2 linked regions of the Arabidopsis thaliana genome follow. The protein of the gene in region 2 interacts with the protein of the main gene of each other region in a pairwise test. Each region holds a gene or a part of one and is shown on either strand. Other genes may lie near its edges. The genes, in order: ESC and AT5G58990.

Region 1 (16,629 bases), on a different chromosome or scaffold from region 2:
ATCTTACCATGTTAAGTTCACTAATTTGTATGTAACCGACGTACGTGAGATAATCTCTACTTCATGTTTCTACTGTGCTCTGTAACGGTTGTCTTTAACCAATATACATTGACTAAAATCCCAAAAAACAATACTATGCTCTAAAAATGGTTAAAGATTAGATGAATAAATGGAAAATAATAAAGATGTAGTATGAGATATGAAATAAATAAAAGTAATCCCCTCGTTATATATTTTGCATAATAGCAGAAGCATATTCTTCTATGAATGAATTTGTTTACTTTTCAGTGGGATGTTAGATAATGATTCCATTCTATTTAACGAATATGATTAGTTTTAGCAGAATATAGAATTTCACTCTTTATCTCTCTAGTTAGACAAGTATCCCCAATATCATTTACTCGTTCTTTTTATCAATATATATATATATATATATAAAAACTCATATTTTGTAGTGACGAAGAAACACGAAAATAGTAATATATAAACCGGTATAAAACCATATTCCATATATATATTTAAATTGTTGGGACAGAAATATATATAGATTGAGAAAGAGCAGAATATGTATTTGAAGTGTTGGTTGAGAGTTGAGACAAATTCTCCATACCAGCCAAAATTAAGGGGTTGGAAATCTCAAACCAAAAACTACGATTATAACATAAATGGTACTGTGCATATGTGACCTATAAATATTAGCTTAAAGCTACGTACTTGTTGCCAACCTGTCTTTGAATAATGTTGGATACAACTATTTTACAGGATCGACGGTTAATTAACTGAAGCATTAATGCATATTTTATGCATGTAATTAAGTAACTGTAGTGATCGAATGAAAAAGGTCATAACATGGCCACTAGGTATACATGTAGTATTTTTAAAACACTAGAAACTGTATGAACGCTAAATAGTTTAAAAATTGCCCATGTTGTTTTCCTAGATGGTAAGACTCGAGATCGCTTAGACGGCCCTGTCGTAATTAAATAGCCAATTACACCAATCAATGGAATTTTCAACTGTAAGTACAAACGGCTAAAAAGACGTTCTAATCAGGCAAGTGGTTAACTACAAAATTTAGAACGATGCACGTTTTGATCAATATGTAAGCATATTCTTAACACCTTATATATAGATGGGTATATATGACAGTACTCTTAACACAATAACACCGTATAGATAGATAGATATGACACAGAAGTTGTGATCTTAAAAGGTATACTCGGCTAAAAGACGCTACAAGTACTCAAATGGTACGAATAATGAATTTAGATGCACAAAACGTATATATTGATCAATATGTATAATAATTTTCTAACCTTATAATGAATACTACATTGAGGTTGTTAAAAAGTTGAAAGAACTATATTATACTATGATTAAGGTAACGTATTGACGTATTGTAAAAATATTCAAATGAGCGCCTGAGATGTGCCCACATAATATTTCATCAAGAATACGCCGTGAAGCTCAAAATTCTTAAAAGAACAAACGAACTCATTATTGAATAGTCTAGACCTATATATCTATCAAATCGAGCTAATTATAATAATAGTTATAGGGTACAACACGAAACCCTAGCTATGAATAAAAGAAAGCCATATATGGAAAGGAATTTTCTAACATAACGAGACACATGCATTTCTCTAACATGTAACATCTACCGAAGATATGAGAAGAAAAGAAATAAACACGAGAAACCAAAATATGCATATCAACTAAACATTAAACACCAAATATCCCAAAGGAAAGACGACTCCACAAGATGATAAAAACACATAAATTTCCGGACATTAAAATTCAATTAAAAAGGTGGTCTTGAAGGTGTTCCAGCTCCCCATCCAAGCAAATGAGGATCACCAGAAAACCCATAACCACCCACATTACCTCCTAACTGTCCCTGACCGGTCACTCCAGACGGCGGAGATGCTGATGGAGCTTGTTGCATCTGCGGTGGCCCTCCTCCTCCTCCTCCTCCGCCACCACCACCTTCTTCTTCCTCCTCCTCAATCGGTAGTCTCTCGAAAACCGCATTTGAGAACGAAGCCGCCATTAGTATAACCGGAGCTGATGCAATAAGGGGAGCCACAACGCTTCCTCCGACCACCTGACCTTGCCCTCCGGCTAAAAATATAGACAAACCACCGGCACCAGGCGGTGCAGGAGGTGGCAAAACAGTCCCCGTTAGCGAAAGAATCTCAAACCTTCCATGTAAAGTCACAACTCCTCCTCCTCCGGACACACCACCGCCATTTCCAGGAGTGACTGGCTGACGGAGAGTGACGTTAGATACGGTGCCGTTTCCTCCTAAAACGGAGACGCCTCTCCCTCTCCTCCTAGCGTACGTGGAAACACTCTCAACTATGTCAGCTCCAGGAGATACTTCAAGAACGTGAGATCTAAGCGCGTTGGGGCTATCACGAGTTACTATGATCGGTGGCTTGGCTTTGTTCTTAGATCCTGGTGGACGTCCACGTGGACGTTTTCCCGGTGCTGAGCTTGATGTATTCGGGTCTGAATCGGGTCGACCCTGTTGATGATGATCTTTGTTTGAATGGTCAGATTCTCTTGAATCATCCGACGGTTGTTGTTGTTGTTGATGTTGCTGGTGCTGATGATGATGCTGGTCGATAAGATTGATCCCGCCCTGCGGTTGAAGCTGTTGGTGGTGAATCTCCGGTCTAAAGAGGTTATGGAAGTATCTAGAAGCTCCACCGCCTTGCTCGTAACCGCCTTCCATCGCCGCCGCATCTACTAATTCCCTATCCCACCACTGCTTATTCGCCAGCTCAAATCAATTTCTCGATTCTTGATCCTGCTCGTTCATATATTGGTAGCTAGGTGAAGAAGAGCGTAAAGAGAGAAAAAGAAAACTCAGATCGAGAAGTCAAAACTCATGATTTTGAGGAAACAATAGCTAAAGCATTAAGGTGTGATCGGTTACGCAAGCCGACAAAATATAGAAACAGACCAAGAACAGAACTAAATTAAAGACGAAGCAAAAGATATAAAAAAGGTGACTTATGTTAAATGATCTCTCTCATGAAAGGTAAGAGGAAACCCTAGTTAGGTAGATTAATTAGGGCAAGAGAAAGAAGTAGCTTCTTCTTTGCATAGGAGTCGTATTTAGCGATTCTGATGTGCTATGGGAAAAAAAGGAGAGAGAAGCTTGAGATTCATGTGCGACTCTGCAATAAATTTTTGGTCCTCTCATTGAACGAGGAAAGTAAAAGCAAAGACATACACCGAGAATTTAGCGGAGAAACAGTCCCCTTTATTATATCATTAATATAATAATTATTATTTGAATAATATGTTCTTTTTTAAGTAAATTAATACTATTTATTACATATACACAAATGCCGACAAAAAAATTTATGTGTGTAAGTGGTTATCCTTACATAAGATCTACCAAAGAAAACTAGGGGTTCGTCGCAGTTTTTGTTTGGCTCCAATCGGATAATACAAAAGAAATTTAGAGAAGGAATTCTTATATTTGAAAGCATGAGATAAGATTAACAGAAGAGATAACATTTGGTCAATTTGTTTATCAGATACTATTATATACGAGCTAAAGAAAACGTATCATTTAACAAAAAAAAAAAAAAAAAAAAAATGTCAAGTGGAAGTTGGGTACACAAGGATTAAAACGAATCCTACATTCCCTTTAAGGCGCGTGGAGGTTATGTTTAAACAAAAGTTATTTGATAAATGTTATTATCATGTTACTAACTTATTTATGGTTTTAGTAACTTAATTAAAAGGTTTTCGTATAAGTAAAAATGAGAAATAGTACTATTTAGTCTTCTCTTACTTGAGAAAATACTACTATAGGTCATTTTATTTAGAATTTTAATTTACTTACGCATCTTTTTATTGTAAAACTTAGTATAAACTTGCATTATTACTAGATATTTGTAGGCTTGTGATTTGCATAGTGCTGCTGATATATGTTATTATTCATATTCAAACTGGATGCAGAACGTGAGTTATATAGAAGAAGAAAAGAAAAAAAATTTACATGTATAGTATTATTATTAGTTTTGTCAACTAATTTTGTAAAAATATAATGTATAATAATTTAAAATAGATATATAGTATATGGCTTGCGAATACAATATTCTAAGAAGAACCCACGTTCTATAATAAACAAACGGATACGAACCATCTTTACTATAGAAAAAGAAGAAGAGAATTAGTCACTTTTAAGCGCTGCAGAACAACAATTGATTAATTCTGCTTGTGATGTGTTTTTTTTTTTTTTTGGTTGCTACTAAATTATCTTGCTAAACCCGAGCTAATTATATATCAAAGAATCAATGTTCTACTAAAGTACTTTATATTCACTTTTATTGTCAAGAGGGCATAAGGCGCATAACGTAGAACAATCAATCTAGGTAATGGTCCTTTGTTCTATACTGAGATAGTGAGATCTACCCATGTATACTCCTTTAAATATCGTAAAACGGAGTGGACCCTTTTTGATGATAAGTTTGGAGAAAGTTAATGATCCATTAATGTGATAAGACTAGCTGATAATTATCAAAATGTCAAATTAGTTGATACTACTACTTTATATTTTCAAAAATTATTGATAAGTACTCCACTTTGTTGCCTTATGTCGAATTTGGTGAATCACTAATTAGAACTACGCTTTTTCTAACATGGACAAAAAAATATACCAGAAAAAGACAACTAGACACTGATAATTTATTGATTTAGAATGAGTAATGTATTAGTAAAATTTTTTTTTGATATATCATCTTCATACAAATGATATCAAACTTTTAATTTACAAAAATTGTTTGGGAAACAAACGATAATCCTGAAAACACTTACCAATTGCATCAACCCATTCAAATAATTATTGACTTATTCATCTTAATTTATTGAACTGACTAAACTCGATCCGACCCATTAATGCATGACCTCATATCGGACCGTGACTGGTTGTCTTAATTTTTAACTGCACCCATATAGTAACACCTAAGCTCCCTCAACGTGGACGCATGTGGCCTGAACCATGGTGGGACCAATCTCAGTAGGAAAGTAGGAAGTGGATCGGAACCGTCCATCCTCATGGCATGTGGGACCCAGGAACCGTCGTTTTCATCGGCGTAACCTGGCGAGTCAGGGCTCGGTGCAATGTACTTGAACCGGACACGTTAGCTTGGTCCGCACGTGCACAGACAAAAGTCACGTGCGGTCAAAAGGTCAGAGCATGAAAGTGAAAGCCAAGCTGTGTGACCACGTGGAGGCGGTCGGATCATCGGTACTTGGTCAATACCTTATCCAATCACAGTACTCCTCCCGAATCTATCTAACTTACTTTCGCGTCTTTTGCCCGTATTTCTAATGCTTAAAAGCAAAAACGTACGTGAAGTCTTTTGTGTGCGGTATTTTAATCATAAACTGGTCCAATTTTTTTCTATCGATCGAAAACGGAATGTGTGGAACTATCAAGATACTTCGAAAATAAGTGAGATATGTTTTATTTGCCCCCAAAACAGAAAAGTGAGAGGTGTTTCATGTGATATATAATTTAATTTTAAGCCATAAAGAGAGAGAACTACACGTCATCCAAGTCTATAAATATGTGACTGTACCTAAGTTCTTATGACGCTGTCGCTACTCGTCTAGATCATGAACACATTTCTCTCACATTAATTAAAGATTATATATGTATTAATGAATTCAGACGTCCAGTTACTGTCGCGTGGAATTCAATGTTAGAGAACTCATTAGAGAAAACTAAGTTAAGTTCTTGGTATCCATAAGAGTTTATATATTTACCAAACATGGAATAAAAGCAGTTCTAAATTGTTCCGACAAACACGTAAACTGATCAAAACATATATATATTTTTTTTTTTTCCCAACGACCAAAATATCTCGTAAGGATGCAGTAGATATGTGAGGTTCGGAGGCACTAAAGAATATCAATTTGGTTTCGGTTCATAATTGATCCCTTGATGATCTTGTAGCTGTTATTGTTCTTCTTTTTATTGTGGCTAGCTATTGCTTCTTCAGCCTACGCCCCTACTCCATATATGTATCTCCCCAGTCTGCTCTCATGCGATCACGAAAGGGTATCTCTTTTAGGGAAATCCAACAACTGGTGAATAAAATGCTGGCTCTTTATATCTAGAAAAAAAAACATCAAACAAAAAGTAAAGGTCGTGAGACTAAATATCATACCCTCTTTAACAATAAATAATATGGGCAAAAAATTGTGATGATTTAGGGATACCGTACCCATCAATCAGTATGCTAATTTAACTTCTATATTTATGTTCTTTTGTTTTTTTTGCTTTCTTTTCTCATCAATCAAAATACCACGAGCCAGATGTATATAAGATATTAATGCCATCCTTAAAGTTTATACTTACATAGCGATTCTATTCTCTACAGCACCTTTAAATTTTGTTTTTATAGTTTTGAAAGTGTAAGCAATGAGTTCGCTGTATATAAAATGAAAAAAAAAATCTAGCTAGTCTTGAACTCTCAGTTCTCATTAATTTTATGTACGTTAGTTAAAAAGTATTGATTTATCAATTCGTGGCTTTTTTTAAACCAAGTAAAGAACATGTATTATAACGAGTTTCTAACTCAGCTAAGTTTGATTATATTTTCTCCAAAAACTCGAACATCAATCGGGTGAAGACTTTCCCCCTTCTATCAGGAATTCAGAATTTAATTTACTAAATATCATACTTTGGAAATATTATTCATTGATAGTTCATAGTTGATAATGAATATATGGATGCATAAAATCCTTAGATAAGAAAACAATCAACAAGTCTAATCGAGCTCTTTATATCAAATTATCAATCAAATCATACTTTTTAGTTTGTCGCACGGAATCTAACATGCCCCGCATGTTAGCTTTGTACAAGAAGAAATACGTAACGATGAGTTGCACATTATTAGAGTAAATTAAATTGCTTTAGTTAAAATATTTGGCAATGATCTTCTGATAAAGTGGATAGATGAAAACGCCCCTGATATTCTTTTCTATTTTTTCTATATTAAATCTTAAAATTGTGCCTCATTTGTTTTGGTAAAAAATAAATAAATTATTTTTATATCTTAAAAAAAACGATTTGATTCCATTGACCTACAGTATTGCGTATTGTATGTCGTATGATAATAAATCTACATTACTCGAAAAATAAATATGAGAATCTAAGTACCATGATATGATTAATGGTTTGTGATAACATTATCACTATGTTATCATTTGGATTCAAACCTAAATAAAATACGTGAACCTAACTAAGTATTCATCAATCTATTTATCTAACAATATAATGGACTGTAAATTTGTTCTACAGATCAATAATTACATGGTCATATCCTTAATCATAGCGTTTTGTGGCCATCTCTTCTATTTCTCTATATATTATTAAGCTATATATGAAGGTATAGTATATATATTTATAAATAACTCTTACGACTTTGACTTGACATTTGATTCTACATAGACAACTCTAATAGTATGAATTGAAACCAGTATTTTATTGCTCCTATCAACCTGGAGACCTTGGTTTCCCAAATATACCTATGTTACTATAAAAATAATATGTGTATAATAATATTTTTTACCTACGTAATGATGCTCACAAGTCACAAGTTTTTACAGGAACTAGTAAAAATCAATTTATTATCAGTGGTCTCCAGACTCTCCACTATATTTTTTTTTATAAACAAACTCAAAAGTAGTGTGATCAATCAGAAATTACGGGTCAACTTTTTCGATAATGCCCAATCCCATTCTCACATCTTTGGCGACTTGTGATCTACCACCACCCCATCCACCAATTTTTAAATTATTTTATAATAATAAAAAGCCGGAGAATAAAACAAAACCAAGTGTCTTTTCAAAACTAAATGCCTATTTATTGTTTTTTTCTAGTCAATTTGTGGAGAAAACCTATCAAACTAAAAGGTGTTAGAAAATATTGTTGGATTAAATATTATAATTTGTATATAGTAAACATTAAAAGGTGATTTTATTGACGTATAATAATCTAAAAACCAAAAATAAAGGTGATATATTGAATAGAATTTAACTATTTAGTAGGAAGGAAGCAACATGGGCAAATTGCCAATTTGGTTTATAAAGGAGCCCACATGTTTACCTTACTATTTTGGACTTTCTGAGTTAGTGTCGAAGGCCTTTGGGCCCATAAATGGACCCCACAAAAAGACAGGACAAAATATCCTTAGAACTCGCCACGTAGATATCTCGACGTGGAGATCTGACCACGTGTACAGTTTATGTCCTGATTTTCGCAAGAGTGACGTGGACGGGTCATGATCCGCTTATATTTTCACTTTGTCTACAAGCCAAGTATATTAAATTGGGCCTCAAATTAGCCCAATCAATATATCAGTACATTATTAATCAAAGGCCCAAGTCTCACGCTAGCGATCGTCGACAACGATTTTGAGTCTTTCTCCGAAGTCGCCGGAATCGTATTCGCCGATCCAATTGTCGCATAGAAACTGTCATCTCCGGCGAGAGACTGATCTCTGGTAAGTCAATTCGATTTCGCGCGTTTTATAACTTCTGGTATTTTCGTATTCCGTTGCTGAGAGAAAATATTGCAGAGATTGCTTAACATGAAGCTGATACTTTAACCGATTCATCAAATTGACAAAAATCGTTTTCTTCTTTAGGGATTGATACAGAACTCGTAGGATGATCGATTTACGCTATAAAGAATGCTACTTGCTCATCTGTCTTATCGTCTTCATAAATTTTGTGACTTGTTATAGCGATGAGAGACTGTAAGTGTTGTTGAAAAACCTCACATTATCCCCAAACTCATCAATTTGGATTCTTTTATTGGTACTGTAGAAATGATGTTATCAGGTTTCTCTTAGGTTTGGTGGAAAAACTTTATATGCTGGGAAGGAACTTTGGAAAGAGACACTGCCATTGAAATCTGGATCTCGAGTTTACAAATTACAAGGGCTTAAGTCGAACTCTTGGTATGAAGTCAAGATATCATACCCAGCTTCTGTATGTCAAATTTGTTATCTTGTTCTATGTTCTTATGTTTCCAAGGTTCTTGTGCTTGTTAAAAATCTCATCCTTTTTTGTTATGATAACAGATACCGGCTCTATTTTCGCTGCAATTACTGAAGAACGGTGTAATGGGTTTGAAGGTTAACCATATGAGGAGATTACTAAACACTGAGAAGTTGATCTTCAAAACAGAAAGTATTGAAGAAGTTGATAACAAGGTATTGCCATCTTCTTCAGTTAGTTCCTAAAACTTAGAAAGAAGAACGAATACAAGTTTAGGAGTTTGTTTCTGATTTAGGAGGGATTGTATGTTTTGGTGACGGTGGAACCTGAAGGAATCGTGGCTATACCAAATGTTAAAGAAAGACCGTCCATCATTTACAACATAGGCAAGCTTTTTTTTCTACTTACTATCTCATCAATCTTCTTCTTTTCACAACATAAGAACTTGTATTAAGTGTAGTGCTTCTTCTAGAGTCTGAAAACTCTCATGTTGACAGTTTGTGAAGAACAGCTCTTAGGCATCCCTCACTCAAGCTGGTCAGTGGTGGTTTTAGTAGTTTTGTGTCTCGTTGTCGCGTTGATTCTTCCCCGGTTCCTCCCATCTTATCTTCTGATCAAAGATGTAGATCGTGATCGTTAAGAAGAAGCATGGTTAATACAGTTTCCTCACCTCTTTGTTTTGTTACTCTGTTCGCATTTTGATGTTTGTTCATCTAATTTTGTATGGTTTTTAGTTCTTACATGTCCACTGCCTCATTCATATACCTTACCTTACCACACCGCACTCAAAGAAGAGTATATAAGTCTACATGTGTTAGATTGATTTCATGTTTTTCAGACGCGGGAAGTCCTATTCTGAACTTGTATGGTTTGATCGTATATAGTTAAGTAACGCTTATCCGTTTGAATTTCAATCCAACAAACAACATTCCACAAGATGAATAACTCTAAAGTACACCGTATTATCTTTTGGGAATAGGGAGTAATTAATTAAAAGCAAAGAGGTTACACATATTTTTAATAAATAAATGAATTTTTTTTTGTTCATATAATGTATGAAATAACCGTTAATTTCCCGGCAGTAATCCGCTAAAATAACTCCAACCAACTGTGATAATAAAAGAACCAAACTAGGATTCGGACAAAACCACAATTTGTGTTCTAATTAATTACAGCGTTAATCATAATTACTAGATGATTTCGAGTGGGACCCAGGGTGAAGAACAACTCCTTTTGTTTTCTCTCTCTCTCGAAGAATTTATGAATCATAATCACGCATCATCGTCTTCGTCATCACCAACTTCTTCACCATCATCATGAATGTTAAAACTTCCATAAACAAATCCTTCCTTGTCCCCTTGTATTTTTCTATCTAAATCCCTAAAACCACTCAAAATCATCCCTCTTTCTCTCCTCCCCATTTTCCCCAACGCTTGATTCGAATTCGTCTCTCTCGTTTTCTGTTGTTCTACCAATTGAGCAACCCTAGAATCATTCTTGTGTACCTACCGGAACCGAGTCTTCTCTTCTTCCGTGGCACATCTTTCAAAGTTTTAAACCCCTTTTCCCCTAACTTCTTTTCATTTTTCTGTTTTTTTCCCGGGAAATTTTCTCTCTCTCTCTCTATTTTTTGTTTCTCTCGTCATGATCATTACTTGTCAAGTATGATCCTTTATTAGGTTTCTTTGGGGCCGATCTCACTTTTTCTGTTTCTCACCCTCTTCTCTTCGAAGGCCCTTGTAAACCCTAGAATCTCCTCTTTTCAAATTTATATGTTCTGTTTCTTCATCTTCAGGTTTAATCATTCAATCTATCTCTAGGGTTTACCGGGTCAAGTCTTAGGATCTGTCTCTATCCATACTTCATCAAAGTTTCCGTCTTTGGTTCTAATCCATGGCGTATCATTCGATTCCGAGCTCTGGGTTTCATTACTTGAATTCTCCTTTTGGTGACACAACCTTTACTAAAGTCTTTGTTGGTGGCCTTGCCTGGGAGACTCAAAGCGAGACTCTTCGTCGGCATTTCGATCAATATGGTGATATCCTTGAGGCTGTCGTTATTACTGATAAGAACACTGGTCGATCCAAAGGTTATGGCTTTGTGAGTATCCTACTTTTTGTTCATGCTTTGGTTTCTAATATCTGAAGTTGGTTTATTATACTGCTTGTAATAAACATTCTCTGCTTCCATGGTATGCTTATAGATTATTGGGTACTAAATGTTGCTTTAGATTGGTGAATGATCTGCTTGACTTATGATTTCTAGTTCTTTGAATAAACTCAAAGAAGTTGAATTCGAAAATACGTGTTTTGATGAAACTTTTGTCTATCTTTGCTAATTAGAGGAGTCTCTTTCATTTGTTTGTTCTGATGTATCTGTTGGTTTATGTTCATGATTGTAGAATGACTTACCGCTATGTTTATGATTTGTATGGAGGATTTAGGTGACTTTCCGAGATCCAGAGGCTGCTAGGAGAGCCTGTGTCGATCCAACACCTATTATAGATGGCAGACGAGCGAATTGTAATCTCGCTTCTCTTGGGAGATCTAGGCCTCCAATGCAATATGCAGTGATACCCCATGCTCCTGGTCAGTCTTACTTCAGTATTCATCTATTCTTTTCTTCGCATTACATACAGAGACCTTTATAATTTTGGTGAAGTATTCAATTTTTCAAGGATTATGACCGTGTTAACCTTGAATCACTGCATTGCTTCTTTTATTTGGTTAGGACGGGTAAGACCTCCTTCCCCATATGTTGGAAGTGTGCAGAGTCCTCGCGGTTTGCATTTTGGAAGCCATCCGTATCACCAACCCCCTACTTATAACTACCAACAAGGAGTGGTGTACCCTTATGGGTGAGTTATGCAATTTGAAGCTCAGAACATTTCGTTGCTATTGTAAATCTGCTATAACAGACAAGCTTTGATGAGTGTATCAGTTCTAATGTTCTACATGCTAGTCCTTCAGTCACTTTGATCAAGTGGCATTTACCAATCACATCATGGACAATCATCTAGAGATTCTATTGCGTTAGGGGTTGTATCTTCTGCCACTTAGGGTTCTTGAGTGTAGCACTATCATGTGACATGTTGTGATTGGTAACTTGCAGGAATACAAAAATATAATTGCAGAGGATATGTGGCCGAGCTCAATTTGTTTTGGACAGGCAAGGTCATGAATGTTTTTGGACTTTGATAGGGCAAAATTACCTAGATTTTTGGAATGGACATTTTGGAGTGGACTTAGGTTTTTCCCCCCTAGCTTAGCATCTTTCTTTCGTAGCATAACATATTCTAGCTGTTTTGTATAAGTGTTACTCTTCTTTTCTTAAAGAGTGTTTAGCCAAAACTTTACTCACCTGTCTCTAATATTAGCTGTGCTTTTTGGGGTTCTCTCAGGGTTACACCATATGGACCTGACTACATGTACTCACAGTCTCAGGTAGGCGCTTGAAATTATTGCAGTTCCTTCTTACCTTCTTTATGCATTTTAAACTGTTGTGGCTTTAGTTATAAACTCATGTCTTCTCTTCATGGTGTTGTAGGGTTTCTATGGTCCTTACATGGGTCAACAGTACCTTCAGGTTTATGGAGTACCTGGGGCAGTTAACTCACCGGGTTATCAATATGGGCAACTGAGCCATACTATTCCTGGTGCTCACGGTTATACAGCGGGTCAAGGTTATTCACATCCAGGAAGTCATGTTCTACAGCTTGGTGCCACTTCACCTATGTCTGCTATTCAATCTCCATACCCTTCTCCTTCAGCTCCAACGCACCAACGTGTCATCGTCCAGACTCCTCCTCAGTATATACAGAGTAGCGGTTCTGATCAGACAACAGGGTGATCAACGTAAGCAAATTCTTGGATTCTTTTTTGATGGTCCAAATTGGATTGAAGTTCGTACACACTTACACGACCTCATTGTTATTTATCGGTTTTCAGTTAGTAATCCTTAAAGATTGCAGAAAAGGGAAGAAGTCCAGGACAAATGCTACTCTGGCAGGCTTCCTGTTTAAGCTTAGCACATTATTTATTTTCGCATTCTAGAGGTAAGCTTGTTTCCTTAGGTGCCCTTTTAAGTTTCAGTACTTGCAAATGTTTTCGATCTCACCTCATTACCGTCGTTACAGGTATTAAGTAGTCTTGCTCACTGAAGAAGTCAAAAAAGGGGGAAAGGAGAATGGAAGTTTCAGGGTTTGTGCTTCTGTTATCTTTAACCCTCTCATCCTATGTATATAGCCCACAACAAGCTTGATGGCATAAACTATATGAATAGTTTCACCCCGGAAACAAGGGTTTTCGCGGTAAACTGGTAGGAATAAGTTTGGTGTACAAAGAAAGTTCATATATATATAAACACATACATAAATGCATATAGAATGGTGGAATCAACATCTGATTCTTTTGGGTGGTAAAAGTAGTCTTCTTACTACACACTCTCTTAAGGCATATGAGTGTTGGTAATATTACTAGGTAGATTCTCACGTCCTCTTGAGTCAAGTCCTCTGCATTGTAAGTAAAAAATTAATGACTATGGAGCTCACTTCAGCTTCTTTGTCTGTGCATAAATTTTAGCTCCAGGATTCTTCTCTTTTCTATGTCTGTACAGTTTCTAGACTGATAAATTGTTCTTCTCAATTGTTTCTGTCTATGACTCCTATCTTCTACTCTGATTCCTCTGTTTATACTCCATTTATCACTTCGTTTACCACTTGCTTTCAAGATGATAGATTCGAGTTTTTAGTTAAATTCATCGTCATTTAAACCATTTTTAAAGAGTCCAATTTTTGGGGGTGGATGTAATTACGTTTCCTTCTTTGATCCATCAAAGTAAAAATTGATCAACACATAATTAAAAGGATTACATAATGAGGTAGTGGCATAGTAATGATGTTTTGATGTCCGAGAAAACTGATTTAGAGATAGTTTAGTCAGCACAAACAAGATTAATGTTCCCATTTTCCTACAACTTCCTCTCGTTTAAAAGAATAAGCTTTATCAATGAGAATAAGACATACAAAACATTTGGGCCTTATACTTTTTAAAAGGCCCAAAAGTGCTTCAACAAGACGGCACGTGGTGAGCCAGGTGACAAGTGATACCTCCAAATGCGGTTATTTGCGGGACCCACGTGGTAGCCACGTGTAGCAAGCAAAGGACCCCCATCCTCTTTTGCATTTTTCTCCTTACACCAAACATTTCTTTCTCGCAGAGAAATCTCTCTTCTCTTCACCTCCATCATCCTCCTCAACCCAAAAACATCACGACGAAATTAAAAAAGGTAAAATCTGCCACTGAGAATTTTCTGTCATGCTTAAGCTTCGAATTTCTTCTCGTTTTTTCTCCATGAATGTTGCTTGAATTTTCACAATCGCTGGACTTGTAAGGTTGAAATTGCATAATCCCTATTTATCTTCTGTGGTGGGAACAATGTGGGATCGATTTTTGCTGTAAAAAGTACAAACTGGTTCGTATTCAAGCGTAGTAACCTTTAGATTTAAGGAAAATTGTTGACTTTGAGCTAACTAGTGAAAAATTGTTGGATTGCGATATTTTCTGGGTAAAAATTGGTTTTTTTTTTTTTTTTGTATTGTGAAGAGTATATATGAAGCAGAGTTACTAATCTTTCTCAAAATATCAACATAGTCTTTTCAAATGTAGATTTTGCTGTTAATAAGTGAAGTTTTTAGGGTTTAATTTGAAGATGTTTTCTCCTTAGTAATGATAAGGCAAAACATTATGGAGACTAAAGTCATTGTTAGAAAAGGGTTAAACTTAAGAGATCTAGGGACTAAAATGATGGAGATTTTCAATGCTATGACTAAATTGGCAAATTTGAGACACTTAATTATGTCCTGTAACTATGTTTTTGGAATGTCCTTATTGCTTCCATTTGTGACAATGTTGCCACTTTCATATGTAATGCAGGTTCATTGATATCGAAGATATGAGTCTGTATAGCGACGGATTATCGAGTGATCAGTATTTCTTGGTTAATTTCATCATGAGCAACTACTTGGGTCCTGATGTCTATTCTGATAACCCAAGATGTTCATCTTCTCAAAGATTAGCTAGAGGTTTGCCACCTTACACTTTGATGCACATTGGATCTTCCTCTCTAACTGTTTCCCAGCTACAGAACTTGTACTATAATGTACTCAGAAACGCCAAGTCCAGCCTCCTTCTTCATCCAGACATGATTTATATGTATCTCAAGGGATATCTACCATTGGAACCAAGTGGAAAGTTTCCTCAGTTCACGCATTTTTTCCCGACGAATCTTCACCCGCAGAAAAGGTATTCCCCGAGCCACGAGATTGTGAAAGGAATTGTTGTTATTGATGATCCTGCAGTAGGGTTCATAAACAAGGAAGAACTCCAAAGGTTCAGATGCTTGTCGCGTTTGGACGACCTGAAAATCGATAGAGTCACGTCTTTATCTCCTCGGGTTAATCTGGATGAAAGCCGGGAAACTGAGCAGGACTGTTCAAGAAATGGTGATGCGACAGCTAATGGAGTTGTCACTAACGAGGACTACAATTCATCTGGTGAGCTTCAAGAAACGTGCAAGAGAAAGGAAGGGGAAGACGCGGTTGCTAGTTGCGTAATCAGTGAACCAGAAAGACTTTCGGGAGACATACCAGAAAGCCAGGGAATGAAGCAGGACTGTTCAAGAAACGGAGAATCTGCATTCAGTGGAATTGTCTCTGACCAAGACTACTATTCATTTGTAAAGCTTCCAGAAACATGCAAGCGAAAGAACAAGGAAGAAGAAGCAGTTACTGGTCATGCTGTTAGTGGAACGAGTAAAACCCCTGAAAGATTTCGTGAGACATACAAGAGAAGACGGTTCAAGAACTCATCAAAAAAGGCAACAAACAAGAATGGTGAAACTCTTATGGAAAGAGAAAAAACAGATAAGCCTATACCTTTTTCTTCGGAGATGAAGGAAAGCGATGCAGAACCGTCGGTTGTAACTACTGGAACAGCCAGTAAAGAAACTCTAGGATCATCTGTTGGTGTTGTTGACATTGGTGTCAACAAGGTTGCTTACTTTTTTCAGGTTGCTTTGCCCGGTGTCCGCAAAGATTACGGTATTATTACACTTTGTTGCACATCTAACTACTTCCATACACGCCACATCGGGTCTAAGTGCTAACACATGAATTGGTTTGGTCCTTTTGTGTGCAGGTGAATTCAGCTGTGAGATTGAATCAGATGGAAAGGTTATACTGGAGGGATCAACTACAAGAGGCGAAAAAAATATCAAGAGACATTCTCGGGTGTTCGAGATGAATATCCGGAAGCTGTGTCCGCCTGGACCATTCAAGCTGTGCTTTAACCTCCCGGGACCAGTTGATCCGCGGCTATTCTCTCCTAACTTCCGATCAGATGGTATCTTCGAGGGAGTCATCATCCGACACAAAAACTCTTAATTAAACCGGAGGTTCCTATACAAGTTTAGAACTTAGGATCTATGTAGATCTTTTATCTTTATGTTACTGGACATAGAAGGAAAGCGAATCAAACAGCATGCAAGGATAAATCTTTTACTTTTAGGACGTGACTCTGTAGATTTTGCATGATTTTG
Region 2 (16,727 bases):
ATCTCTCGTGTCCTCACTCGCTCCTCTTCAGAAAGAAACTGATGTATGCACTCACTAAATCACCTTCCTTTCATGTATCAACCATTCAAGTATTCTAGCTCCTCGTCTTATTCTACATCTCTGTTGTTTTCTTCAGATTCCGTCTCATGTTTTAATGGGGATTCCACATGGAGCTGCTTCTCCAAAGGAAACAACTTCGCTTACCCCTCTTGGTGACGCTTGTTCACGACATGATCTCACAGCAATACATGAAATTCTCGAAAAGGTTGGATACAAAGATGACGAGGGTGTAGCAAATGAGGTATGTACATGAACAAGAAGCTTCTTCATCTTCTATGAGGTCAATGACCTTCAAGTCTAGAGCTTCTTTAGTCTTACCTGAGGTTCCTGTTTTATTTGCAACACAGCTCTCGTTCCAAGTGTGGACCGACCAGATTCAGGAGACTCTAAACTCCAAGAAACAAGGAGATGCTGCGTTCAAAGGCAAAGACTTTGTCACTGCTGTTGAATGTTACACGCAGGTAAGAAACAGAAAGTGGGTTACTTTCTTGAAACCCAGAAACATAATTCCCCTGGAACTCGACTCAATCCGTCTTATTGTATCTGCAGTTCATCGAAGATGGCACAATGGTATCGCCAACAGTTTTTGCAAGGAGGTGTTTGTGTTATCTGATGAGCAATATGCCTCAAGAGGCTCTTGGTGATGCAATGCAGGCGCAAGTAGTGTCTCCTGAATGGCCAACGGCTTTCTATCTTCAGGCCGCTGCTCTCTTCAGCCTTGGAATGGATAAAGACGCCTGTGAAACCCTAAAAGATGGAACTTCCTTGGAAGCCAAGAAACATAACAACAGAAACTGAAAACTTCAAGTGTATAGGTTTCTTCTCTCTTCCGCCTTCTTCGTTTTGTGATTGGATTCTGAGAAAGCCTCATTGTCTCTGTCTTCTTTAAGCATTATCTTAAATTTGTGGTTTCCAATTTGAAGAGATGATTCAAATCACATTTGAATCAAGAAAAGAAGGATCTTTCTCATTTAAGTCCAAGATCCTTATATGAGATTTGTTCAAACTAATTTTCTTCATTTGAAGTACAAAAACAGATTCTACACAACTATTGTCCAGTATTTTATCTATTACCAGTTTTCAAAGCCATGTGTCTGAAACCAAAAGAGCTAAGACCCTCCTGACCACACAGAGATTTCACGAAGCCGGAGCAGAGAACAATATTATACAAAATGTAAATCTCACAAGTTACAACAATCTAAACACTACCAAGTTTTTACAGCTACAAAACGTGTGAATAATCAAGCAACAGGAGGGATTGATTCAGCGATTGCAAGCGGCTCAAGAACAGGAGAAGAGTGAGCTCGTGCGGGTGGGCGAAAGAGAGAGAGAGAGAGAGAGAGAGATGGAAAACGTTTCACTTGAGGACTTTGAAGTGAAAAAGCCAAGAAACAACGAAGGCGAAGACCATAGCAGCAAGTAAGAAGTTCATAACAGGGCGACCATGCCAGATTCCTCGTGGCTCTGTCTGAGTTAGAGATTGTCCCGCAGCTGCTTGTGAATGTGTAGAAGCAGTGCTCTCCGGATTAGATTGTTCACCAGCCACGTTTAGAGCCATTGCGCCGCATATCTCACATGTCCTGCTCAGATTCATACAACAATATGATAAATGCTAGTCAGTAAAAATCTTAGGGGACTTGCTTCATCTTGTAAACATATAAGAAGCTAGGAAAATGCAAAGACACAGAAACAGAAGCTAAACAGAGCTATGAGTACAATCTTGATTGGTAAAAATCAAACTTTCTCAGCAAAAGGGACTGCAAGATTCTCTCAATGCAGCTGCAAAATCAAGCCTTTGAAACTGAATGTTTTGAGGCAAATCACAGAAACTGGCTTTAATTGAGACTACAAACAATAAATATCCAAAAATGTGCAGGAACATAAGAACATGAGACACAAGTAGACAACAATTGATGGCCACAAAACAAAAACTGTAGATTCCAGCTTCAGCAGACAATCTTTCTAAGAAGTAATGATATGGATCTCTAGAATTCAGACAAGAAAAAAGACTCAAAGTACATAAAAAGGAAATACATTTTTTCCTTATAAAGTTTCATTCTTTACTACTTTGGTTCTCACAGAATCTGTAGAATTTTGCAGAAAAAAAACAAAAGTAGTCTTGAAGAGAAACTTACATGTTTCCTTTGATCTTAAACCAAGTCTCAGCACACTTACTATGAGCAACACCCAAATCACCTTTACAAGAGCAACCTAATTGCAAAGGCAAACCATAATATTCTTCTTCTTCTTCTTCTTCTTCTTCTTCTTCATCTTCTTCATCTTCATCATCATCAGAATCATCTTCTTCTTCTTCATCTTCATCTTCAGCTTCTTTGTTAGTCTCTAAAGGAAGATGACAGATCCTGCAATCTCTTCCACCTTTCTTCTTCTTCTTCTTCTTCCTCCTCTTTCTCCTCCTAGTTCTCCTCTTCTTACCACCGGAATGTAGCTGTTTCTCCGGCGCCGGTACACCGCCGGACTCTAAATCGACCTGAGACAAAGAATCCCAGTCGGAGGAGTCACCGTCGATGCTAATTTCGACGGAGTACGGCGGCGAGTCTGTAGGATTCGCCAAATGGTGATGAGATCCAAAAGCAAAAGAAGGCATTTTTTTCTTTCTTTCTTGAAGATTAAAGCAAAGAGGAACCAAAGGGGTCACTCATGGGTTTTACGAGGAAAACAAAAAACAAAATCATAAAAAAAAATAACCAAAAAAGAATTAAAATAAAAAAAAAACAAAAAAGCTAATTTTGTCTTCAAGGGTTTATTGAATTTTTTATTTTAGTAAGTTTTTAACTTGCAGAGAAGAAATGTTGGAGAAAGAGAAAGGAAGAAGCTTTGGACAAAAGAGCAGCTTCTGTTCTGTTCTTTTTTATTTATTATTATCTTCTTCTTCTTTTTTTCTTCTTTTTTTTAAGACAAATGTTTTTACTTGTTTTTTTTTTTTTTTTGTCTCCCTCAAGTTTGGAAGATATTTCAAAACAAGGTGGGTGCTTTTTAACATTGTTAGATCCCGTGGTACGGATTCTTAACTCATGATTCTACTACATTGAATTTCCACTTAATTTTTCATATATATATATATATATCGATTGTACTTTTTTTTTGTATTTCATACTGTATTAATTAAAAATATTTCTTATTGAAGTCCCTTAAGCTAATCTATTTACTATCACAATTTAATTACAGTTCCTAACATTTTAATTATTAATTAAGAACAAAAATTGAAGAAAAAGAAGTTATAGATTTAGTGAAAATGAACTAATGAAGTGTACCCACGTTGCTTAAGTTATAACATTAATAGGACGAAAAAGCGTTTATTTTAGTACTTTTCTTGATTTCTTTAATAAGTTAGATTTTATTTTTCCTAACAACTAAATTTTTTAGTACTTTACTCATACCGTGAAAAAACAAAGTACTTTGTTTCTACAAATTAGATTTGCTTCTATAAAGTTTCATTCTACACTTAGTACATTACCTGGAGTGTTTAGATATTAATTATTTATACAAGATAATATATCCTAATGAAGTCAGCTTAAACTGATTTTGAAAAGTGGGTTGGTGTGAACTCTGAACAGTGATTCAGTGAACATATATATCAATAGTGTTGGGTTTTGTTGAAAAGTATATAAACATGAGGTGTCAAAATGAAAATGTATAGAAGTTTAAGGGTATTGATGAAACTAAACATAAAAATCACTGTCAATGTCAGTGGCTGTGTCAGGATGTAACAATGTTGGCTGGAAGGAAACTCACCGTTTCTTTAATAATTATTGTTCCAAAGAAAACAAATAAAAGAACCCCAAATTTGAAATGCTATTTTCATTTTTAAACAGTACTTAAGAACAGTAGTAGTTTTTTTCTTAATTGTTTTCTATTAAATTTGAAGTTACATATGGTTTTCTTTTGTATCTACATATATAAGCTGAGTAACTTAACAGTATCAATGTACCTATTTTTTCGATTATAAATACTGTAGTCTGTTTGTTTGACAAAATAAAATAAAATACTGTAGTCTGTTTATGACAAAAAAAAAACTGTAGTCTGTTTATTTCACCAACAAGCTCTTTGAAATTCTCCTTTCATATTTGAGTTTACTAGATTATACTACTTACTGTATTTGTATAAAAGTAGTAATAATATAAAAATGTATATACACCTTCTAAAATAGGGTCCAATATAGTTACCATATAGTTACAGCTACATTAACAATACATTTATTTTATTTTCGGTCCTATGTATAAACATTAACATGATTGTTGACAAAACATATAAAAAGTTTTTGCTAATTTCATAATTTTCTTAAATCATTTTTTGTTTGGTTATCAAGGAACAGTGTAGCTTTTGTTTTTCTTTTTTTGGGTCAAAAGTGTGTAGCTTATAATGTCATTTTGGTCTATAAAACAGCAACCTTCTTTAACTGAGACCTGTTGTTTTTTGAATGTATTCGATGTATCATATTTCCACACTTTCAAGACAATTCATATATTATTCGATCAAATTGTTTCTCGCTACCAAAAAATTGATAGCCGTATATTGATTGACAAATTGACAGAAGGGAAACAGAAAATTCCTTGGATAAGCATAAACAGGGCCAAAATATAAAGTTAAAGAGGGATGGGCTTCATGGATTTGAAAGAATAGGGCCCTTCTAAACCAAAGAATAATGGAGATTGATTGGTCAAATTCAAGAGAGTCTGTTTTCTTTCTTTTTTTTACAAATCAAAACAGTCTACTGAACTGAGTCCTGAAAGAAAGAAAAAGATTCTAAAATTGGTTCTCTGTTAACCTCAAAGTTATTGAATAAAACCCATCTCATGTACTTGGTAATTTGAAGATCTTTGCTTACATGAAGATATCCATTAAAGCACGGACTTGTATATATATATCATATTAGATTGGTTCATATGCGGATTCCTGTTACTTGACTAAGATTGGTTCAACCAAAAACTGCTTTCATTAAAGGTGAATCTAAACGATGGTTTTGGAGTCTGTGGAAAAAGGGATACAAACAAGATTTTTACGCTACGGTTGGAAGAAATGTAAAACTGGTCCAACAAGACTATCTTCCATTGCATAACATTGATGATTCGATAAACAGGCACTATACAATATCAGGAGAAGTATTCAAGTTGATTTTTACTGCAAAAGATGTATTATTTGAACAAAGAAATAAAGATGCTGTGCTGAAGAGGAGACTTTTCAATATTGAAAATTTGGGATTTTGATAGAAACTAAAACCTGCCAATCGTAGTTGAGGTCATTTATTACATGTTTAAAACCAGCAGATCTCCTACAAAACAAGTTCAAACTTTATAGTAGCTAAACACTAGGCTTAGGGATGCTGGCTCATCAAAATCATAACTCAAGAAGTGTAAAGTCTTAACAAGAAAAACGAATACTCGGTCATCATCCGTAGATTATGGATCATTTCCTACAAAGCTATCGACGAATTCAAAGAAACTATCAAGTCACAACAACTGTATCTTCTTCCCAATAAAAAGAAACCGCAAACAGATAGATCAAGAAGTACCCACAACAATGGAAGTAAACAGATCAGGCAGCTTGAACATCAGCAGTGGTTGTTGCAGGAGTAGTCTTTGACAGGTTTGGGATATACTTCCAACAACGTTTGTGAACTCCGCTTATCTTCTTTGGAGCTTCCGCAGCTCGCAATCCTGCATTTGAGACCATGTATGTACGTTACTCTCATGAAAGCTGCATAAACCTTAACACCAATGCAATGGTGATTATCTAGTTTCAGATATGGCTACTCCTAATAATTTCACCCTATACTCCATAGACATGACAAAAAGCTCCAACTTTGACATCAATGGGCGTAAAAACTTAGCAATACGAAGCAAATGATGACAAAAAAAGTCACCATCTTTGTGAACAATTCCCCAAGCTTTTCCATGTCTACCATCCTGCATTTGAATCCAAAATCAAACAAATACCCAAGTCAGATAATCAAACCCCAAATGATTAGGTAATAAAAACATTATCTCAGCTTACGAAAAATGGAAACTTTTCAATCCAGACATGAAAGAGAAGAAGACGAAGAACCTTATAGAGATTGATCTTAGTGATTTCATAAGAGATTCCATTCCAGTGAGCTTTAGCCATATGGTATCCGATTCCCCAATTAGGTAAGAACTGAGCGACTTCGATTAAGTTTTTCTTCTTTCTTCGTTTAGGTTTATTCGAATCGGAGCTAGGGTTTTCACTCGCCGGAGTAGATGCCGCCGACGGCGCCGCAGAGAAATTTCTTAAGAGACTAAGCGAGAGACTGAAAGCACCAACAGTTTCGGTTCTAGAGATTGCTCTGTTCATAAGTGTCATCGCCATTGTATCGCTCTCTCTCTATTGTTTCAGCCACTGTTGAAGATCGGCGACTGAGGTTGAGACAGAGAAGAACCACAAGTTTTGGTTTATTCACAAACAGACCCAATACAATTTTATAAATTACATTCTACCCCCGTTATGTATGCATTTTAACTAACTTTACCCCAAAAATCCAAACTTTGAAAATTAGAAATCGAATAAGAAGTGAAAACCGAATTGAGAAGGACAGATACGCTAAAACAGCTGAAATTGGGTAGCTTTCTTTCTCCGCAACCTTAAAAATAAGAACTTTCCTCACACTTTACTCTTACTTACATACTATTATCGTTGTTACCAGAAAAAAAAACGAAACTTTATTGAGTATTTGTCTATTTGAGTTTCTCTCATCTTCTTTTGTTTTGCTTCACATCGTTCACATCAATTAGTTTCTATCAGCTCCAGCAAATGGTTAGTGTGTTCATCAGCTAAAATCATTAAGGATTGCGTTACTTCTTCTTCAGGTTGGATAATATTTTGGGTTTAATAATTTTAGATTCATGAAATATGTGTGTTTGTTTATGTTGCTTACGTTTGTATTATTCTCTAGGAAGGACTAGAAATGAGAAAGAGTTGATTACTCCATATTGAGTGTGAAGATGACGAGGTGGTCTATGTCTATGCACTGCACATTGTTCTTGCTATTTCTGTTGAGGCTCACTTGTATATTCTCAGATTCCGATTATTTGATGGGTCTTGGAAGCTATGACATCACAGGACCTGCAGCTGATGTTAACATGATGGGTTATGCTAACATGGAACAAGTAGCATCTGGTGTTCACTTCAGGCTCAGAGCTCGTGCGTTCATCGTGGCTGAGCCATACAAGAAAAGGATTGCTTTTGTTAATCTTGATGCTGGTATGGCCTCACAGCTTGTGACCATCAAAGTGATTGAAAGATTGAAACAGAGGTACGGTGAGCTTTATACGGAGGAAAATGTTGCAATTAGTGGAACTCATACTCATGCTGGTCCAGGGGGTTATCTCCAATACATTTTGTACTTAGTTACATCTCTCGGGTTTGTTCATCAATCTTTCAATGCTCTTGTGGACGGTATAGAGCAAAGTATTATACAAGCTCATGAAAATCTTCGTCCCGGGTCCATTTTAATCAACAAAGGTGAGTGATTTAGCTTGTGGGACACTTTTTTTATGATTCATTTTATATGTTGCTTTCTCTAAAGACATTTCTTTTGGAGCTGAGCTTGCAGGGGAGCTCTTGGATGCTGGTGTGAACCGTAGTCCCAGTGCTTACCTTAACAATCCGGCACATGAACGTAGTAAATATGAATATGATGTAGATAAAGAGATGACACTTGTCAAATTCGTTGATGATCAATGGGGTCCAGTGGGTAGTTTCAATTGGTTTGCAACTCATGGCACTTCGATGAGCCGTACAAATGCCTTGAATCAGCGGGGACAATAAAGGCACTGCAGCACGTATCATGGAAGACTGGTTTGAACGAGAAAACGGTTGTAGATCAGTTGATGTTGAATCTCCTAGAAGAGTCTCAAGCATAATCAGTGATCCTTATGGTGAGCGTAAATAACCATAGCTCCAAGAGTTTTAGTAATGGCTTGTTATTGTAAAACTAACTTTTTGTTGCTTTTATTGCAGATCAAGATTTGATGGAAATGGCATCCTCGTTACTGTCTACCGGCGGTAAAACCGTTACAAGGATGTCAAGCGTTGCTAGACGGGTCAGAAGTAGATTTAGACACGCTGACAAACCTAGATTTGTCTCTGCCTTCTGTCAAACTAACTGCGGTGATGTTAGTCCGAATGTGTTGGGAGCCTTCTGTATAGACACAGGCCTTCCTTGTGAATTCAACCAAAGTACTTGTGGTGGAAAGAATGAGCAATGCTACGGCCGTGGACCAGGGTACGTCTTATTCCTAACTGCACACTTTTACTTTCAGCAATGCGGAAACCAATCACAGAAAATTATGTTCTCTCTTAGTACAATATGGTATTTAGAGAGTCAAGCTTGTTAGATGTATAACTTGGCATGACTAAATGTTTCAGCTACCCTGATGAATTTGAGAGTACCCGCATTATTGGAGAGAGGCAGTTCAAGAAGGCTGCGGATCTTTTCACTAAAGCCTCTGAGGAGATACAAGGAAAAGTTGACTATCGTCATGCATATGTTGATTTCTCTCAGCTTGAAGTGACGATTAATGGACAAAATGGAGGTTCCGAAGTGGTGAAAACATGTCCAGCTGCAATGGGTTTTGGTTTCGCTGCAGGAACAACTGATGGACCTGGAGCATTTGACTTTAAACAAGGAGATGATCAGGTAAAACCCAAATTCTCCTTCTAACTTGGTAATGAAAGATGTTTAGTACTATACTTTATGTTGTGACTTTGTGTAAGGGAAATCCTTTCTGGAGGCTTGTAAGGAACCTTCTCAAGAATCCAACTGAGGAACAAGTACGATGCCAACGACCTAAACCCATATTGCTTGATACCGGTGAAATGAAACAACCATACGACTGGGCGGTGAGAGCATAATCTTGTACTGTGATGGATAAAAATTGAATCCCACTTAGCTATTTGTGATGGAAAAACTGTTTCTTAATCCATTTTCAGCCGTCGATATTACCAGTTCAGATCCTCCGCATTGGCCAGCTAGTGATTCTCTGCGTCCCCGGAGGTATTCCGGTCTCCCCCAGAACAAAAAAAATCATTTCTAAACTGATGTAGAACATTAGTAATTTCCTTTCTCTATTGTTCTGCTTGCAAGAATTCACAACAATGGCAGGGAGGCGACTACGTGATGCCGTGAAAACAGTGCTTAAAGAAGGCAGCAATGGAAGAGAATTCAGCGTGGTAATAGCCGGGCTAACCAATTCGTATTCGCAGTATATTGCCACATTTGAGGAATACCAAGTTCAGAGATATGAGGTCAGAGGCTTAGATAAGAAGGAAGAGCTTGTAGGATCTTTCTTGATTTCCTGCTCTTAAACCAACTCTGTTTATTCTTTCCCTCAGGGTGCATCGACTTTGTATGGACCTCACACGCTAAGCGGATACATTCAAGAATTCAAGAAACTAGCAAATGATCTTCTATCTGCTCAAACCACTGACCCGGGTCCCCAACCACCTGACTTACTTCACAAGCAAATAAGCTTACTAACACCTGTTGTTGCGGATATGACACCAATTGGAACTGCATTCGGAGATGTTACATCGGATGTTCCTCGGTTATCCAAATTCAGGAAGGGAGCTGACATAGTGAGGGTTCAATTCCGGTCAGCTAACCCGAGAAACGATCTGATGACGGAAGGAACTTTCGCGCTTGTTGAGAGGTGGCTCGAAGGAAGAGAGACATGGGTACCTGTTTATGATGATGATGACTTTTGCCTCCGGTTTAAGTGGTCAAGACCGTTTAAACTCAGCACGCAGAGCACAGCAACTATCGAATGGAGAATCCCTGAAACCGCATCACCTGGTGTTTATAGAATCACTCACTTTGGTTCAGCTAAAACTCCTATAAGCTCCATTCACCATTTCTCTGGTTCATCTAGTGCCTTTGTTGTATATTGAAATGTACACGTGAATAGTCTTTATACGTATCCCTAGCAACACCATCCAGTAAATAACCTTGTGTGTGCGAAAAACAGTTTGTGTACATAACCTTCCAGTGGAGGAAGAGGGTCTATCTAATGACGTGTTTAGTTACAACAAAAACAGAGAGAAACTTTTATAGTGAAAATAGTAACACACAAAAGATTGAGAGAGACTCTGTACTTGTTCTGAATTCGTTACGCCATTATTAAATCTCGATCTCACTTTTCTTCATTACTACTCCTAAAAACTATAATCATTGAGAAACCCATTTTAAGATTACATCAATCATCATCGCTGTTAGAGAGAAACTGGAGCAACTTCTCAAATTTTAGCCTTTTTTTGTTTTTGCATTTTGCCTAATCGGTGCTTCTCCAGATTTCGCTTATCTTGTTCCTATAGCATAACAATGGCGGATTTCAAACCAAGGATCGAGATTTCGTTCCTTGAAACCTTCATTTGCAGCGCTTTCGCTGCTTGTTTTGCTGAGGTATCTCTCTTTAGTGCGAGATGAGATTATTATTCCTCTTTTGGGTTTTTGTTCATTTTTCATTTGAGTCTGTCAATATTCTTAAATTCGATCAATCACTGTCACTGGTGAACAATCCAGAGAAATGCTATCTTAGATTTACCGTTATTCTACTGAATCTTCGAAATTGAGCTTTAGAAGCTAATCTATGATGGTCTAGTCTACGACTTTAAAGTCCATTACTTGTGATTTTTTGTGATACTTATTGAAATGAGCTTACATAGACTCTATAGATTTAGTGTTTACGAAATTTGAGTTTTCGTGTGTTATGTGTTTGTTGTATTAGTCTTTAGTCAAATTCTAATTCATGGTTTATGAGTGATGTTGTAGTTATGTACTATACCGTTGGACACAGCCAAAGTTAGACTTCAGCTTCAAAGAAAGATTCCCACTGGAGATGGTGAGAATTTGCCCAAGTATAGAGGATCAATTGGTACTCTAGCTACCATAGCTAGAGAAGAAGGTATTTCAGGTCTTTGGAAAGGTGTTATTGCAGGACTTCATCGCCAATGTATCTATGGTGGCTTAAGGATTGGGTTATATGAGCCTGTGAGTCTCACATTATTTTCCTTCTCTGGTGCTTTTTTTTGTGTGTGTTTTATACTCTCTTATAAAGTTATATCTGATGGATTGTTTATTTTGCTATATCTGAATAGGTGAAGACACTTTTGGTTGGAAGTGACTTTATTGGCGATATTCCTTTATATCAAAAGATTCTTGCAGCTTTGTTAACTGGTGAGCTCAGTTCTTAATTTTGATAGTCTCTTGGAAGTAACTTGAGTGAATGATTGAGATTATAAAGGGAATTATTTTATTGTGTGTGACACAACAGGAGCTATAGCTATTATTGTAGCTAATCCAACTGATCTTGTTAAAGTTCGGCTTCAATCAGAAGGAAAGTTACCGGCTGGGGTTCCTAGGCGTTATGCAGGAGCTGTAGACGCTTATTTCACCATTGTGAAGCTGGTTAGTAAACTAATCTTCAAATAACAATATCAAAAATATTAAAATACTTTGTTAGCAGAGTGTTATAGCCTTTTGATTTATAAAATAGGAAGGAGTTAGTGCGCTATGGACTGGACTTGGTCCCAATATTGCCCGGAATGCTATTGTAAATGCTGCAGAGTTAGCTAGTTATGATCAAATAAAGGAGGTGATATTTCTTTCTCAAGTATTTTGTTGTGTAGGAGTTTTTTTGGCTTCTACTGGTGGTTGTTTAGTCTTTGTTTGTTCTTATACTTCCATACATATGCAGACAATTATGAAAATTCCGTTCTTCAGAGACAGTGTTTTAACTCATCTACTAGCTGGTTTAGCTGCAGGCTTCTTCGCTGTCTGCATCGGTTCTCCAATTGATGTGGTAAGCATTCATTTTCGTCTTTTACATAAATCAACAACAAGATTATTTGGTTTTCGTCTCATCATGTGTGGTAGTGCGTATATCTACAATAAATTTCAGTGAGAAGTGATAGATCTGAAAACGAAAGTGCTAAGTGCCTAAATCATTGTTCTTTTTGAGAACGAACAAAAGAGACTTAGTACTGACTGAGTTCTATTTATTGGTTTGTGGCAAAGAGTAGGTATTTATCACAGAATATCTCTTTAAAGGACAAGGTATTAGAATGGACATAGCTCTACTTTGAAAGTGACATCGGTGTAGCGTCTCACATGTTTGTGTCTTCCACATTTTATGTTTCTGACCTCTTGCTTGGTGATTTGACTTTGGTAAATGCAGCATTATTAGATAGTAATGCTCTACGGAAGGAGAAATTAGTATTAACCTGTTACCGAAGGAAACAAAATGGTTGATACTTTGGTATTTGCCCTAAACGGCCATGGTTCTTCTTTATATGTTGTTCCAGGTGAAATCTAGAATGATGGGAGACTCTACTTACCGAAACACAGTCGATTGCTTCATCAAAACGATGAAGACCGAGGTTAGTATTCTTTTCTAGTTCACATTTAACCAATCTCTCTCTTTTGATGCAATCATGAATGTTCTGTTTTTGGTCTATTTAAAGGGGATTATGGCATTCTACAAAGGATTTCTCCCGAATTTTACACGGCTAGGAACCTGGAATGCCATTATGTTCCTCACATTAGAACAAGTAAATTAGATTCTTCTCTCATTCTCATTTACTTTTCGATGATGATTAATTTTGGATTGCTCTTCTTTTTTTAACATTTTTCTCTCTGTTTCATCTTCACTCTGTGACAGGTGAAAAAAGTGTTTCTAAGAGAAGTCTTGTACGATTGATTCTCAGATCCCTAGTCGAAAACCATACCTTATTACATAATCCCTTCTATAAAACTTTGAATTGTTAGAATTAAAACATATATACTTTCTATGTTATGTGAGCTTTGTTATTTAGATTAGTATAGAAACATTTTATCCAAAAAAAAATTCTTTGCAAGAACAGTTTATACGAACGGTCTCTTTATTTCAAGATTTTTCCGAAGCTAGATTGTCTTAAAGTCTTAAACAACACACGAGGACATAATGTATTCCTAAGAAACAGTGAACTCAAAGAAACCTTTTTAAGCCCTTGGAACCAAGTAAACTCTGGATTTGATGATTGATCCTTTCCCTTGATGGCTAAGCTTGAATCCTGGACAAACAGGAAATCCAACAACTTGACCCGCAGGAACACGGCCATCCGAAAACCTCACGACACTCTCCATGTACTGAGAGTGAAACTCGGCTCCTCTGTTTGCTTCAAAGTGACTCGGGGATGGGTCGAGCGAGAATGCCAGGAGATGAAGCAGCCAGACTGCTTTAGCTAGCCCCAAGAACTCTCCATAGAACTGACTTCTTGGGTGGTTACCGGCTACAACCAACTCCCGCTGTTCCGAGTCCCCGAACAACGACTCTTCCATTTTTTGGTGAATGATCGAAAGGTACTTCTTCGAGCAGAATTTACCAAAATGGCAAGTTGGTAAGATCCCTAGCAACTCCATAGGATCCATTGCTTTCATATCTTTGAACTGCGCAAAGCAGTCACGACGGTACTGATCCGGGTTGATAAGAGAAGATAAGCTTCCATCCATGTAAAACGTTTCGTGATCAAATCCTTGGAAGATTTTCCTACAGATGTAAGACTCAAGAGCAAACTTCGCGTGCTGGTTCGGGACAGATGACTGAACCGAGGATGCAAACGAAGAAGCAGACATTCCGTCGGATGAAGCTGAAGCGGCTTCAATGGATCGAACAGCCGCTGCAATGTCCCAATGTGCAGCTCGCATTAGTGACAATAGAATCCCTGTGAAAGACTTTGATGCTTCTTTCACCTGAATCATTGTCATCTCAAATAACTCCGGCACCGGAGACACAGCAATCTGTGTGGTACAGTTAACTTTCCGGCTTGAAAGCAATCGGTGTTTCTTGCCTCCGTTACCGTTGGCCATAGAAGCCACTTTGACTTTCTCCTTCAGATTCTCAATCTCAGTATCTTTCACTTTCACTTCTTTCTTCAGCTCCTTCACAACCGCCTCATAAGGCGCCACGGCCTCTCTCAGCATTCCTCTTCCGGCGTCGTTTTTCCTTCGACCACCACTTCCGGTACCTCTCATCCTCCTGAATCTTTCCCTCAATGAACCAATCCTTCTCAGCTCAGCCACCATCGCCATATCAGCATCGTGCATCTTCTCCGGATCCCACGGCGAATGAGCTTCCTGAAGCGCAACGTAAGCTCTCTTCATAGCAGCAGCCGCCGTGAAAACTTCGTCCATCACCATCTCCATCTCCTGCACCGTCTCAACACTCACACCGTTCCTTCCGTTCTTAGCCCTAATTGTCTCATCTTTACCATTCTCCTTCTCCAATGCGTCTTCGTACTGAATCTCACCTTCCTCCTCATTCTCCTCTTCTTCAGTATCGTACTCTTCCCGGCGATTCACAGCGAGATCTTGCCGGCCGGCGGAGAGTGGATGCAACAAACAAGACGCCGTAACTCGTTGAATCAGATCCGAGAAGTTAGAAACCTTGTTCGCCATTTCTCCTCTCTTCTTCTTCTTGCAAAAATCGCCGCCGCTCTTACTGCAAAACGCCGTTCAAGTTACCAGAAATTGTTGAAAGTCAACAACGAGTCAAACCTCCGGAAAGTAATAGAAGCTTTATTACCTGCGGGAATGGTGATTGTTATTCTCAGATTTGAGAGCGAATCTCGGAGGATCTCGATTGAATTGAACAGAGTACCAGTAGTCAATGTCTTTGGGCTCAGTTTCTAAGCTCTCTCGCTCACTCTTTTTCTTTTTGCTGCACAATGAAGAAAAACCAACTAAACGTCACCGGAATAATTAATCTCCGGCCGACGACGACAATAGACGGAGATTTCTGATTATTTCTATCCTAATCTCTGAGAGTGATAGAGTCAGTGACTCAGTGTGGGGAGAAGAAGAGCAATAAGAACTGAATCATAATTACCGAATTAACCCTTTTTAGTTTTATGTTTTGACCCCTGACTTTTAAAAAAATTGTAATCGATGTGACGTGTAAAAAAGCTTAACCTCGATTTTGGGCCCTCGGGGAAAGTTTTTGGGTCTTTCTACAACTTTCTTATTGCACACATGGTCGTCCTCTTTTATTTTTATTTTTATTTAAATACCAATATCTTTTTCTTTTTTTAATTAGCCCATAGGTTAGTTTTACAATAGGTATATTGTTTTTACATGCGTTTAATGAGAAACAATTTAGAAAGAAAAAAAATGAGAAACAAAAATGGATTATGTAGTTTTAAATATGTTTAAGACTATAATTTATCCTTTGTATTCTCTCTTCTAAAAAAATAGCCATTATTAAGTGGTAATTATTCAAGTATCTATTTTTTAGGAATCTCTCTTTTGATTGGACGAGAAAGTGATCCCATAAAGTCATGGATCTTGCCTAATCCAAACCAAATCATATAGAAAATTCTTGTCCCCTTTTTATAAATCCAAAATTTATCATTAAACCCCATGTTAAGAAAACACTTTAAACACATCAATACTTTAAACAAAAGAACAAATTATATTAGTCACAAGTGATATTCCAACTGGGGTGAAAAGGAATATTTACCTGTGATTCCTGGGATTAAGTGAGCATAATAGTATGCCTGGCAACATCTTCTCTTCTCTCTCTCTCTCTCTCTCTTTCTTTAGAAACAAAAGAGATGAACTCCAATATAGAAGAAGAACAGTGATATATATGAAAAATGAGGTTCAAAGTTTCTCATATATATATAGAGAATTTATTGAAGATTTGAGAGAAACAGGCCAATGAGGAAAAAGAGTTTTGATGTGACAAGTATCAAACTTGATTATTTAATTATGAAATTATAATTGAGGAGTGGGATATTTCTTGTTTCAAGTTTCGACATCTAGCCATTTGTTGTCTAGTTTGTTATTACAAATCATATTAACTTCACTGGAAGTATATCCAGAATCAAAACTGAAGCCAGAATCACAAACGCTCAACAAGGCAAAATGATTTCAACTGAGGTTGTCACAAATAAATCAGAAACGCATGACCTCTTAATGTACATATCTTCCATAAGACTTTCTTAAAAATATATATGAAATTGTGCAAGCTACGAAAAAATTAAGCCAGTTCTAGTTTGTCTATAAATGGTGTATCCTTTCTGTGTCACTCTTGTTTTTTTTTATAGGGTGGGTATTCATTAACCATATATAGTTCCCGTGAAATCATTCAGGTGACTTTCTTAACCCTAATATTTTGTGCAAGTTTGACCTAAGAATAAAGTTATACTTTCGTACTTGGTTATACCCCATGCATAAGCTTTCCAAGTGATATAGTTGACAAATCCAGTACCCCCATTATTTGATAGATTCTTTTGTACTAACCTTTGTATTCTGCGATTTAGAAGAATACAATGATGACCAGAGGTTGGTACTTCTTGTAAATATATCTTAAAAATGTTGTCAAATTTTCAAATATTTTCCTTTTGTCGCATCCATTTTAACTCCACTCTTAGCTCGCTATTTTAAACCATTAATTAAATGTAATAGTTGACTCAAAAAACATTTGCTGAACAGAAAGTATATTTGTGTATAATTTAGTATATCTTCCAGTCTTCCACTGATATGATCATATGAACTAGCTAGCTAGGTACACATGTTCAATAAAGAAACTTAAAATAGCTAGTGGTGTAAAATATTAATGTATGCGATGTGTACATATCGCTTATTGCTTTAA

Evidence for each region.
Region 1: the proteins of AT5G58990 (region 2) and ESC interact in a two-hybrid assay, tested with the Arabidopsis thaliana proteins (one large-scale study listed by BioGRID).

What each region holds. Positions count from the first base shown.
Region 1 is NC_003070.9:7,259,132-7,275,760, reverse strand, and holds ESC (Putative AT-hook DNA-binding family protein), read right to left. Parts: upstream 3,206-16,629; 5' UTR 2,738-3,205; coding exon 1,802-2,737; 3' UTR 1,689-1,801; downstream 1-1,688. Other genes in the region: AT1G20890 (caveolin-1 protein), read left to right, coding at 8,701-8,789, 8,886-9,024, 9,117-9,248, 9,329-9,419, 9,531-9,673; AT1G20880 (RNA-binding (RRM/RBD/RNP motifs) family protein), read left to right, coding at 10,927-11,133, 11,477-11,621, 11,764-11,890, 12,434-12,476, 12,580-12,882; AT1G20875 (uncharacterized protein), read right to left, coding at 14,080-14,280; AT1G20870 (HSP20-like chaperones superfamily protein), read left to right, coding at 14,986-16,132, 16,230-16,474.
Region 2 is NC_003076.8:23,804,709-23,821,435, reverse strand, and holds AT5G58990 (28S ribosomal S34 protein), read right to left. Parts: upstream 6,674-16,727; 5' UTR 6,409-6,673; coding exon 6,127-6,408; intron 5,988-6,126; coding exon 5,945-5,987; intron 5,739-5,944; coding exon 5,617-5,738; 3' UTR 5,246-5,616; downstream 1-5,245. Other genes in the region: BSK5 (kinase with tetratricopeptide repeat domain-containing protein), read left to right, coding at 1-43, 137-301, 408-521, 610-858; AT5G59000 (RING/FYVE/PHD zinc finger superfamily protein), read right to left, coding at 1,418-1,640, 2,196-2,668; AT5G58980 (Neutral/alkaline non-lysosomal ceramidase), read left to right, coding at 7,041-7,560, 7,652-7,792, 7,878-7,976, 8,059-8,323, 8,467-8,737, 8,815-8,940, 9,031-9,094, 9,185-9,345 and 1 more; UCP2 (uncoupling protein 2), read left to right, coding at 10,418-10,498, 10,868-11,086, 11,194-11,272, 11,370-11,503, 11,592-11,690, 11,793-11,897, 12,400-12,474, 12,559-12,645 and 1 more; GIL1 (glucose-6-phosphate isomerase, putative (DUF641)), read right to left, coding at 13,076-14,573, 14,658-14,792, 15,591-15,637.